3 linked regions of the Drosophila melanogaster genome follow. The protein of the gene in region 1 purifies or fractionates together with the protein of each later gene. This does not show direct contact. Each region holds a gene or a part of one and is shown on either strand. Other genes may lie near its edges.

Region 1 (3,377 bases):
ACCAGCATTCATGCTGTTATGGCGCCTTGGCGGAACATATTTCTTCTGTGGCTCCGGTCGCGGCTGTCGATGTGGCGGAGCTGGTGGAGCTCTAAGGGGAGCGGAGGTCGCGGTTTTTCCAAGCCTCCTGTGGACGGGCACCGTGTCCTGTCGGCTAAACAGCTCGTCGCTGCGCATGCGTATGGTCTTGCCCTTAACAGGACTGAGTCGAGCCTGTGGTTTCCTTGCAGGCGATGCCTTTAGGTTGTATGTCTTCTTCGTGGCATGAAGTTTGGATACTAAAAAAAATGTTATAAATTAATTGACTGTGCCACTTCTGCTCTGAAGCAAACATACCCATTCCGAGCCTTGATTTAATATTATTCGCAAAACTTTTGCCCTGCCTATTTTTGTATGCCGATTCGGGAACGATTTCCCGAACCTCCGCTGTCGAGGCGAACTTAACAATCTTTTCGCCGGCTCCCATATCAAAATCTTCTCCGCTGGACATGTAATCCTCTTCGTCACTTTCGAAATCGTCCATGCTATCATCGTCGTCGTCGCCTTTTTTAAGAGGCACTTTGTGAACTAGCATGACCTTTTGCTGCGTTACAGCGGCCACCTTCTTCGCTTTCACAATGGGCGAGTTCTTGGTGACCCCTCCTCCTCCTCCTCCACCACCAACTGTACGGTGTGTGTTTTTAAGGATCGATTTGATTTCCCTGGTCGAAGTGAACTCCTCCGGAAGAGCGCCCTGCTTGCCACCGAGTCGAGCGAAGACCGAATTATTGCTGGAGGTGGCCGCTGTTTTTGATGCGCCGGCAACGTGCACGCGGACGCTGCTCTCGCCCGAACTGGAGACAATGCCCTCCTGCGCCTCGTCCTCGGCATGCAGGCGCGTAAATATGTCCGACTTTTTGGAGCTGCTCACACGATCGGAGTATACTAAAAGAAGATATATTGAAAATTTGATCTTGTTCTTTAGAAATCTGTAATCTTACATTTTTCCCGCTTGGCTAAGATCTGTTTGCTGCGCTCGGTGGTTCCCGAGGGCAGTGTCACCTTGTACTTGCCCTCGTGCTCCGGAAGCACCCGTCTTGCAGGTTTCGCAGGCGGATAAACCTTTGCTTTTGGAGTTGCAACCGGCGCTTTGGGTTTTGGCGATACCGGTCGGACAACTGATTGAACCACCTCCGTTGTGAGGACCTGTTCCCGGGCATTCTGTTCGCAGACGGTCTTTGAGTGCCGCAGGATGGCGATTATATCGCCCATCAAGGTTATGCCCATTTCCCGGAGATACTCCTTGTTAAGATCCAACAGCATGTCGTCCTGGATGCGGTTCTCCACGAAGACGTGGGCATAGCCGGCAGCCGCAGGAGATGGGATGCCGGCCGCATTGAAGAATTTTACCCAGCGTGCTGTAATTTTCGGTGGTGAGTTCATTATTTTTAAAGTGTGTGATATTTTTTAGGTCTTTATTTTTGTTTCGCACCCGGAAGCGTCTGTTCAGTTTGTTTCGTTTTCACGATGTTATAAACCCACCTGCGCTTGACTTGGACATTTTGCGTATTTCTGGTGCTGGCAAGCACAGATTCTTACACGATTCAGCTACTATTTATTTATTTTATTCCCATAAATTCCGTTTTTTGCACTCGAAACTATTTATATATTTTAGAGTTACCACAAATCCTGAACGATTATCGGTATTCGGTTATCGGATATCGATTAGACCATGTGTTAGTGTTGTTAAATTCCAAAATGTTGTAGTAGGGGTAATCAAAGCAAACACTGTTCAAATTTAAATTTAAAGAATCTTATTAAAATCCTTATTAAATTTCTATATATCGTGATTTAATGTAGTACACTTTGGCAATATATGCTTAATTATTTATTTACTCTTACATACGTACGGTGTACATATTAAAAGAAGTTAGTATAAAAAGGATTTTTTCATGGACTGTCGGTATTTTTAGTACTTCCACACTGTTGTTAAAATTGTAAACAAATCCCGCCGCACGTGTGATATTTAGTTAAAATCAAAATAATTGTATTTCTAAAGTTTCAAAATATGTCTGGTAAATACGATCTGCTCAGTGAGCAGGGCCTCCGTCTGGACGGACGACGTCCTCATGAATTGCGCCGCATCAAGTGCAAACTGGGAGTCTTCGAGCAGCCCGATGGAAGTGCCTACATGGAGCAGGGAAACACCAAGGTTCTGGCTGCCGTCTATGGACCCCACCAGGCCAAGGGCAATCAGACAGAGTCCGTCATCAACTGTCAGTACAGTCAGGCAACCTTCTCCACGGCGGAGCGCAAAAATAGGCCGCGCGGCGATCGCAAATCTCTGGAGTTCAAGTTGTACCTGCAGCAGGCGCTAAGTGCTGCCATTAAATCAGAACTATATCCCCGCTCCCAGATAGACATATACGTGGAGGTGCTCCAAGACGACGGCGCCAACTATGCGGTGGCTCTTAATGCCGCCACACTGGCGCTAATTGATGCGGGAATCTGCCTCAATGAGTTCATTGTCGCCTGCACCGCCTCACTGAGCAAATCGAACATCCCGCTCACAGACATCTCTCAGTTCGAGGAGGTATCCGGCGGACCGAAACTAACCGTGGCTGCCTTGCCTACCGCCGAGAAAATCGCCTTTCTTGAGATGAGTGAGCGGTTCCACATCGATCACTTGGAAACCGTCATCGAGACTGCTATGGCGGGTTGCCGCGAAATAAGGGACATTCTGGAGGCAGCAGTCAAGGAGCACCTTCTGCACATGGGCAGTGCCTCTGACTTTGCGAAAGTTGGTTGAAATAAAGTAATCTTTTCTATTCCAATCTTGTCGTTTTTTACAATTGAAGGGCAACAATTATAATAAAAAGGAACCAACATTTACAAATTAAATAGTGTCTTTAACATTGTATTCAGATGGCTGCCCTTGCTCTCTTTTAATATAATTTCTGTTGCAAAAGCACAATTATCCTCTAAAACACAGGCGTATAAATGTAGTAACAAACGAAAGTAGCTCTAGTTTTTCTCAATAGCTTCTTTTGGTGGCTCCCACCTATCCAAGAGCTCCTTTAGTCGTTCCCTTCGATGTTCCAGTTGCAACTTCTCTATTAGTCCACTCAGTTGGTCGCCGCCCTTGAGGAAACCATTGAGGTTGTGCAGCGTACCGCCTTGAATTCGATGATCCGTTATGCGGTCCTGGACGAAATTGTAGGTACGGATCTTCTCATTGCGATTGAGACTACCCTGTTGCGCCTTCTTGGTGGCCATTTTGCTAGCCTCAACGCTCTCCAACTGCTGTTGCACAAGTCGCGACCGTAGACGCTTCATCGCTAGCTCCCGGTTTTTGAGCTGGGAGCGTTCCGATTGCGCCTCCACCGCCAGACCCGTGG
Region 2 (3,422 bases), on another chromosome or scaffold:
AAGCGGGAAATAGAAGCAGTCTGACTAATGGCGATTATAGGGAATTCGGTTAACTCACCAATCCCTTGTTGATGAACACGTATATGGCACCCACGTCATAGGAATCCCCTAGAGCGTTGAGTGGCGCGGATACGACCACATCCGTTAGTCCATCGCCATTGAGATCTTCCGCCACCACGGAGTAACCGAAGTACTCGCCCAACTGCTCGCCGTGAAACACATGCAGCTTACGGACTATCTCTCCCACAACGTCGAAAATGTATGCCTTGCCGGTATTCAGGACAGAGCTCGGCGCGGTGGTCACGTAGAGCAGACTGGTCCGGTTATTGCTGCTAAAGTATCCGGAGCTCAGGGCGTAACCGACGTATGTGAAGTGATTCTTTACCCAATCCCACGAATCGAGCATCTTGACTGCATAGCTTCCCTGGGCAGCCAAATCTTCTCCGCGGTGCACTAACACCGATCCCTTCCAGCTACGGACTCCCGGGGCGCCGATCAGGAACCCCGAGTTGTCGTCCGTCACATGGGCACTGAGCCCCAGCTCCAGCATGAAATGTTCTTCTGCTTGCGAAGGGATTAGACTGATAGTCCTCACGTCGCTCAGCGGAGGAGTGTCTGCCACTGTGTCCCGAACCCAGTAGCAAATTCCTCTCATTTGGCCATAGTTCTTGTTCTTCGGCACGAAAAACCGAGGTGCGCACACGAGCAGCTTGTCCGTATCCTTGGTGCCGCCATCCATAGAGCCGCCCAGCCACTGGAATTGCTTATTTAGCTTGTCGTTTAGGACGTAATGCGAGCAGGATCCACTGGCCAGGGGGCATCTGTAGACAGCTCCAGTCTCATTAATGCTGCCTTGCGATTCCAAGGTGGACTGAGCACGCGGAGCTCCCACGAAGATGCTGCATTGATCACGAAGTTTTTTGTTAGAAGGAACTTCATGGAATTTCAAGTGCAATCACAGTCTGGGATCGATAGCTTCCCTAGGATAAGATCTCACCTGGTTGGACGGATGACGAGCGAGTATCCAAAGTAGGAGCTTCGCACTTGGATCATTCGGGTTTTTAGGTGCTTTGGAGCATCTATCACTCGATTCGGCAATGGCGAAAAGTTCATTGCATTGCTCTGGTATTTGAGAGCCAAAAAAATTAGGAACAGAAGCCGATGCATTTTCTACTTCAAGTTTTTAGTCTTATTCTAGAAAATATTATTCCGGATGGGAATGTGCCTGCGAGCTCTGAGGCAATCCAACTGAAACAAGATGATGAATGTTTCAGAAGTCTAATGGAGCTTAGCTAACTTAAAGAAGACAGATAACTTATCATTGAAATGCCAGAGCAATTATTTCAAAGCTGTTCTTTAAAATTATAATTTGTATGCTGCTTATCTAAGGACAAACTCAAAAATGCTTTCGACATATATATTATACACATTAACAATAAATGTTATTTCATAAAACTAAGGAAACTAAAAACGTGATTTTAACAGTTTTTTTTAATCCCCTTTACTTTTATTTTATTTCGATTGTATGTATTTTTTGTTAGGCAATAGAATTTGCAAGTCTTCGTTACATTTACTTTCGAATTTCAACAAAATTGGTTTTTAAAATTGCAATTCGCCGCAACCGATAGGCACTGTAGTTGCGGCGAAGAAATGGAACTTGAACCGGAACCAGCAACGAACCCCGAACCCGAACCGGTTCCGCGTGGCGCGTGTTTTGCCAGCTGTTGCTCTTTTTGCCTCGCTCAAAATTAAATTTTTGTTTACCTCGCTTTGGCCAAACTGAGATGTCCACCAACGCGGCGATAGATCTGGCCCTGGACCGGGTGGACTGGCGCGACCTGGCCGCGCAGACGGAGGAACAGCCGAGGGTGTATACGCCGGGGGAAGTGCTGATGCCGGAGGCGGGATTCATGCGCGGCCACGGAACCTTCGTCGAGGACGAGAACATCAAGTCCTCGGTGGCCGGGGTGATCCAGAAGGTCAACAAGCTGATCTCGGTGCGCCCGCTTAAGAGTCGCTATGTGGGCGAGATCGGGGACGTGGTGGTGGCCCGCGTCAGCGAGGTGCAACAGAAGCGCTGGCGAGTGGACACCAATTCCCGGCTCGACTCCATCCTACTGCTCTCCTCGGTGAATCTGCCAGGCGGAGAACTACGACGGAGATCGGCGGAGGACGAGCAGATGATGCGACGATACTTGGACGAGGGCGATCTCATCTCTGCCGAGGTCCAGGTGGGTACTTCCTAACTTGCTGGTACTGGAGTAACTATATAATCTTTCTTCTCTGGCCACCAGAACATCTTTGAGGAGGGCTCCCTTTCGCTGTACACGCGCAGTTTGAAGTATGGAAAACTATCGCAGGGCATCCTGGTCAAGGTGTTCCCCGCTCTCGTCAAGCGCCGCAAGATGCACTTCCACAACCTGCCCTGCGGCGCCTCCGTGATCCTGGGCAACAATGGCTACATCTGGATATCGCCGACCAAGGGCCAGGAGGAGGAAGGCGGCGAGGGAGGATTCGCTCAGAACCTGAACGAGCATGTGCCGCGCGCGGATCGGGAGGTGATCGCCCGGCTGAGGAACTCCATCCTCGCGCTGGCCAAGTGCAAGCTGATGATTTACGACACCAGCATCCAGTACGCCTACGAGGAGTCCCTGCGCTACGAGGCCCACGAGCTGCTCCAGCAGAACGCCATCTACGACATCGGCCAGCAGACGCAGGCTCGTCTGAGGGACGCGGACGAGTAGTATATATGCATATACATATATTTTATACACAAGTAGCTTAAATAGAGGTTAATGTATTTTCTACCGTCAAATGAAAAATTAACATTTCAATGGGTTCGAAATTGGTGGATTTCAAAATTGCATCAGTGGGCTAAAATCTTAAATACACTGAAAACTATCGCAAGCTTTCTGTTTAATAAAAATGTTCATTTGATATTTCCTGAATTTGTATGATAAATGTTGGTTTCCTAATAAAAAGTCAGGTTTTCTAAAATACACAAACTCTTTAAAAAAGAAAACATTTATTGCATATAAGTTAGGTTTTATTGGCGTTTAAAAAATACATACATTTTCATAGCACTTTAGTTTTAGTTAAAAGTTTCGACTTAAAATTACTTTTAGTTAAAAAGCAGCTAAAATATCGATATTTTACCAGGACGCGCACCGAGTGGCAGCACACATTAGCGATCCGGCAACGCCCTGGCGGTTTGTGCAAATGAAAAGTGATTCTGCCTGGATGATAAAGGGACTCGGCATAAATTTTTTATTTTTATGTCATCCCATATTAGTGTGACGTTGTATTTGTGACAAATACTTGATTGTGTAAAATAAAAACAAAAAGTTTCGCTAGCAAAATTCACACAGAAACATCGATATCTGCATAGTGCACATCTCTAAGCGACGCCAAGCGATTGTTTT
Region 3 (3,680 bases), on another chromosome or scaffold:
ACTGATGCCCTTTAAATACTTCCAGACCAGAGAGCAGTGGAAGGTGCATCATTATATTGCCACCAACGGAAGAATCACAAAACTAACTTTTGCTCTTGACCCACACAGATCACCGACTTCTTGTTCAGCCCCATGGTCCTAATGATGGTCTTGCCTCTGCTCCTTATGCTGGTGCTGCCCAAGATGATCAACGATCCCGAGACAAAGAAGGAGATCGACAATCTGCAGTTCCCAAAGGTAAGCCGTGAGGATCATGTATAGCACAGCACTATAGTATTATATGAATCATGCTCTGCTCCACAGATGGGCAACGATATGCCCGAGATCAGCGAAATGCTGACTTCACTGCTAACGGGCAAGCAGCCCGAGCCCAAGGAGAAGAAGCCTGCTCCGGCCGTCAGGCAGGCGAAGAAGCGCAAGGACCAGTAGTAGTTGGCCACCAGATAGCTTTTAGTATTAAGCTTAATCGGAGCGCCGAGCTCCAAGTCAGAGTCAGATCGTTTAAATAGTAAATTTTCATTACAAGACTTTGCCGCTTTATTTAAGAAATCCTACTATTTGCGGTCGCTTGAGTCCGACGCGCTGCTGCTCCAGATTTAGCATTTTAGTGAGCAGCCGGTCCAGATGCTCGCCAATGGCCAGACCCAGCTCCAGACAGTTGCGCATGGTGTCCCGGTGCATGGCTCCGCCGCCGGTCAAGTGTGTACCCGAAAGGAATGCCTGTCCATTCCGCATGGAAACTGACACAACCATGCTCACTGTGCTGCAGACTTCCTCCTCCGCCGAAGGATCCACCAGGACATAATCACCGATCTTGCAAACTGTGACCAACAGCGGAACCGTCTCGATGCCGATGCGGGTGCAGTCATACGGATTGTCCGATATGATGAGGTCTGTGATGCCGGCATCCAACATGGTGGCTGTCACCCGGGGCAGCTTTGTGTTGAACAGAGCCGCTTTGGCGGCCAGCGACACTGCGTCGTGTAGATTGCCGCCACACTCCAGAATCTGCGAGAACAGGGATTAGCATTTTCGGTATAATTAAGCACACTAGAGTCTAACCAGGATGTCTATGTACAGCTTCCAGCACTGCTGACCCGGAATGAGGCACAACGTGCGGTAGTTGAAGGCCAATGGCGATTCGTAGGCGTTCTGCAGGGAGAGAATAAGTTCTTGGGCCAGATCCGAGCCCCCGCGTCCTTCAAACTCCGGCGTGGCATTAGCAGAGCTGAAATATATATGTTATGGCATATTCTTCGAACTTCAGTTGCATCATTACCAATCCACAAAAAATTCCAGTTTACCAAACTCGGGCGTCAGCGGGTTGGGTACATCAATCTCGGTTTTGACGCCCACCAGTATGTCTGTGTTCGCCAGCCGAAGGCGAGCGGATCCACTGGCATTGCTAACCAGTCCAGTTTCCAGGTCCATGGGCCGGTAATCTCGTCGTGAACGTCCATCGCAACGAAAGTCATCCTGGAAACGCATAGTTTAAGGTACAGACTATATTTCTTGCATAACCGTTTAACACACCTCCACGCCGTGTAGAATATATGTTTTTTCAGCTTCGCTCAGTGCAACGTATGCCATTTTAGACTTAATTCAAGAAAACAAATATTCAAAACAAATTCAACATGTGCAATGAACCCACATCGATACTATCGATATACCGCAAAGCAGGGCTGCTGGCACTTCGTTTTTACTTTACTGAACTGTTGTCAGTGCGAAAGGTGTATGTTTTCATTTGAAGCATTTCATTTCACATCGCCATCTGGTAACACTTATCCAAAACAAGCCAGTCATTTCGTGTTCGTGCGGCGTTTCAACAAATATCAATTGTAAATTGAATTGTAACAAATTTAAAGATCAATATGCAGCCCGACTTTGATTTCACCGACACACCGGTCAGCACTGGTGTAAGTATGAAGAGCATCAGCCACATAACTTCGTACTAAGAGCACAATCCTACCTATTTGCAGACCACCATTATGGCAGTGGAGTTCGATGGCGGAGTGGTCATTGGAGCCGATTCGCGCACCAGCTCGGGCGCCTATGTTGCCAATCGGGTCACCGACAAGCTGACCCGCATCACGGACAAAGTGTACTGCTGCCGCAGTGGCTCGGCCGCCGACACCCAGGCCATTGCCGACATTGTGGCCTACTCGCTGAACTATCACGAGAATCAGACCAACAAGGATGCTCTGGTGTTCGAGGCCGCCTCAGAGTTCCGTAATTACTGCTACAGCTACCGCGAGTCCCTGCTTGCCGGCATCATTGTGGCTGGGTGGGATGAGCAGCGCGGCGGCCAGGTGTACAGCATCCCGTTGGGCGGCATGCTGACCCGCGAGTCCTGCACCATCGGCGGATCGGGATCTAGTTTTATCTACGGATTTGTTAGGGAGCACTACCGCCCCAATATGGCGCTGGAGGATTGCGTTACATTCGTCAAGAAGGGTAGGTAATCCCAAAAAAACCAAAACAGTTTCCCTTCAATCGAATCCCATTTAAACCTCCTCCAACAGCTGTCCAGCACGCTATCTACCACGATGGCAGCTCCGGTGGTGTGGTGCGCATTGGCATCATCACCAAGGATGGCATCGAGCGACGCATCTTCTACAACACAGAATCGGGCGCATCGGCTGTTTCCAGCACTCCCAGCTTCATTTCCTCGGAATAAATAGTATACCTACCCAAGTAAGATCGATCAGAGAAAGAGTTGCAAACTCGTCTCATGCTAATAAACCTGGTTTTTGTAATATGCATACTTTAATTTGTATTTTGGCTCTTATGGCAGTACAAAAGTTAGGTCTAGGGGCTAAAATGGTAATAAATAATCGAAAACCTAAACCTAAGATGCATAGTCATACAGATAGTGCTGTTCCTGACACTGGTCCTTCCTCACAACTCAGATAACTACTGCGGCGAGAGTGGAATGTTCCCTACGGGGAAGTCATTTCATCGCCTATCACATGACAGTCAATACCGATATCCTTCGCTTAAACTCTTATCCAGTCAGGTAGTGACCAGAGATTTAGGAGTTGAGTTTGGCCACTTCAGCTGCGTCTATAGACTGCGTCTCCATGGACTTGTTGGTGGCACATCGCTGCCTGCGGTGGCGGTACAATATCTCCGGTGTCCAAACAAGAACCACCACCAGCAGAATGACTCCTTGAGCATAAAGGCAGATTAGGTAGGAGTCGGCGTAGTCTCGCACCCATCCCAGCAGCTGGCCCACTGTGATAACAATAACGCCCTTGGACATCATGCTCAGACCCAGACCGCCGGCCAGTTTTTCCGAGCGGCAATGCGCCGATATGGTGAGATTGTTGTTGATTACAGTGGCTGATTTCATCATGCCTGTCAACACAGACATGGTGATGATCACGGGCAGCGTTTGATTCTCGGCAAGCACACAGCGAGCGACAAAGAGTCCAACAATGCCGATCAGGAACACTACGCGATAGGGTATTCTAAGGTGATCTGTGACGATGGGCAGCAGCAAACGGAACACAATGTCGGCGCCAGCCACAAGGGACATGCAGAAGGCCACCATTTGGCTGTTAAGTTGTGCCGTTTGTCCAAGAAAACCAGGAAAGATCATCGTGAAGTTTATGGTGGCCGTATAGACTAGAGCCATGCCCACAATGATGCTCCAGAATACTAAATCTTTGAGCAGCTCC

The links. Proteins that work in one complex are often made in the same cells at the same time.
Region 2: the proteins of Ski6 (region 1) and Rrp4 purify together in Drosophila melanogaster (affinity purification with mass spectrometry, with the first as the bait; one large-scale study listed by BioGRID). This does not show direct contact.
Region 3: the proteins of Ski6 (region 1) and Rrp42 purify together in Drosophila melanogaster (affinity purification with mass spectrometry, with the first as the bait; one large-scale study listed by BioGRID). This does not show direct contact.

Annotation. Positions count from the first base shown.
Region 1 is NT_033779.5:13,220,892-13,224,268, reverse strand, and holds Ski6 (Ski6), read left to right. Parts: upstream 1-1,839; 5' UTR 1,840-1,908; intron 1,909-1,961; exon of another isoform or gene 1,962-2,038; 5' UTR 2,039-2,047; coding exon 2,048-2,788; 3' UTR 2,789-2,872; downstream 2,873-3,377. Other genes in the region: CG16812 (uncharacterized protein), read right to left, coding at 1-278, 337-924, 981-1,397, 1,522-1,540; mRF1 (mitochondrial translation release factor 1), read right to left, coding at 3,004-3,377.
Region 2 is NT_033778.4:23,554,501-23,557,922, reverse strand, and holds Rrp4 (Rrp4), read left to right. Parts: upstream 1-1,705; 5' UTR 1,706-1,784; coding exon 1,785-2,231; intron 2,232-2,294; coding exon 2,295-2,744; 3' UTR 2,745-2,905; downstream 2,906-3,422. Other genes in the region: ItgaPS5 (integrin alphaPS5 subunit), read right to left, coding at 59-899, 998-1,167.
Region 3 is NT_033778.4:16,012,888-16,016,567, reverse strand, and holds Rrp42 (Rrp42), read right to left. Parts: upstream 1,661-3,680; 5' UTR 1,591-1,660; coding exon 1,534-1,590; intron 1,477-1,533; coding exon 1,280-1,476; intron 1,229-1,279; coding exon 1,063-1,228; intron 1,009-1,062; coding exon 538-1,008; 3' UTR 518-537; downstream 1-517. Other genes in the region: EMC7 (ER membrane protein complex subunit 7), read left to right, coding at 1-43, 109-237, 304-429; Prosbeta1 (proteasome beta1 subunit), read left to right, coding at 1,872-1,916, 1,980-2,454, 2,523-2,677; CG8389 (uncharacterized protein), read right to left, coding at 3,032-3,680.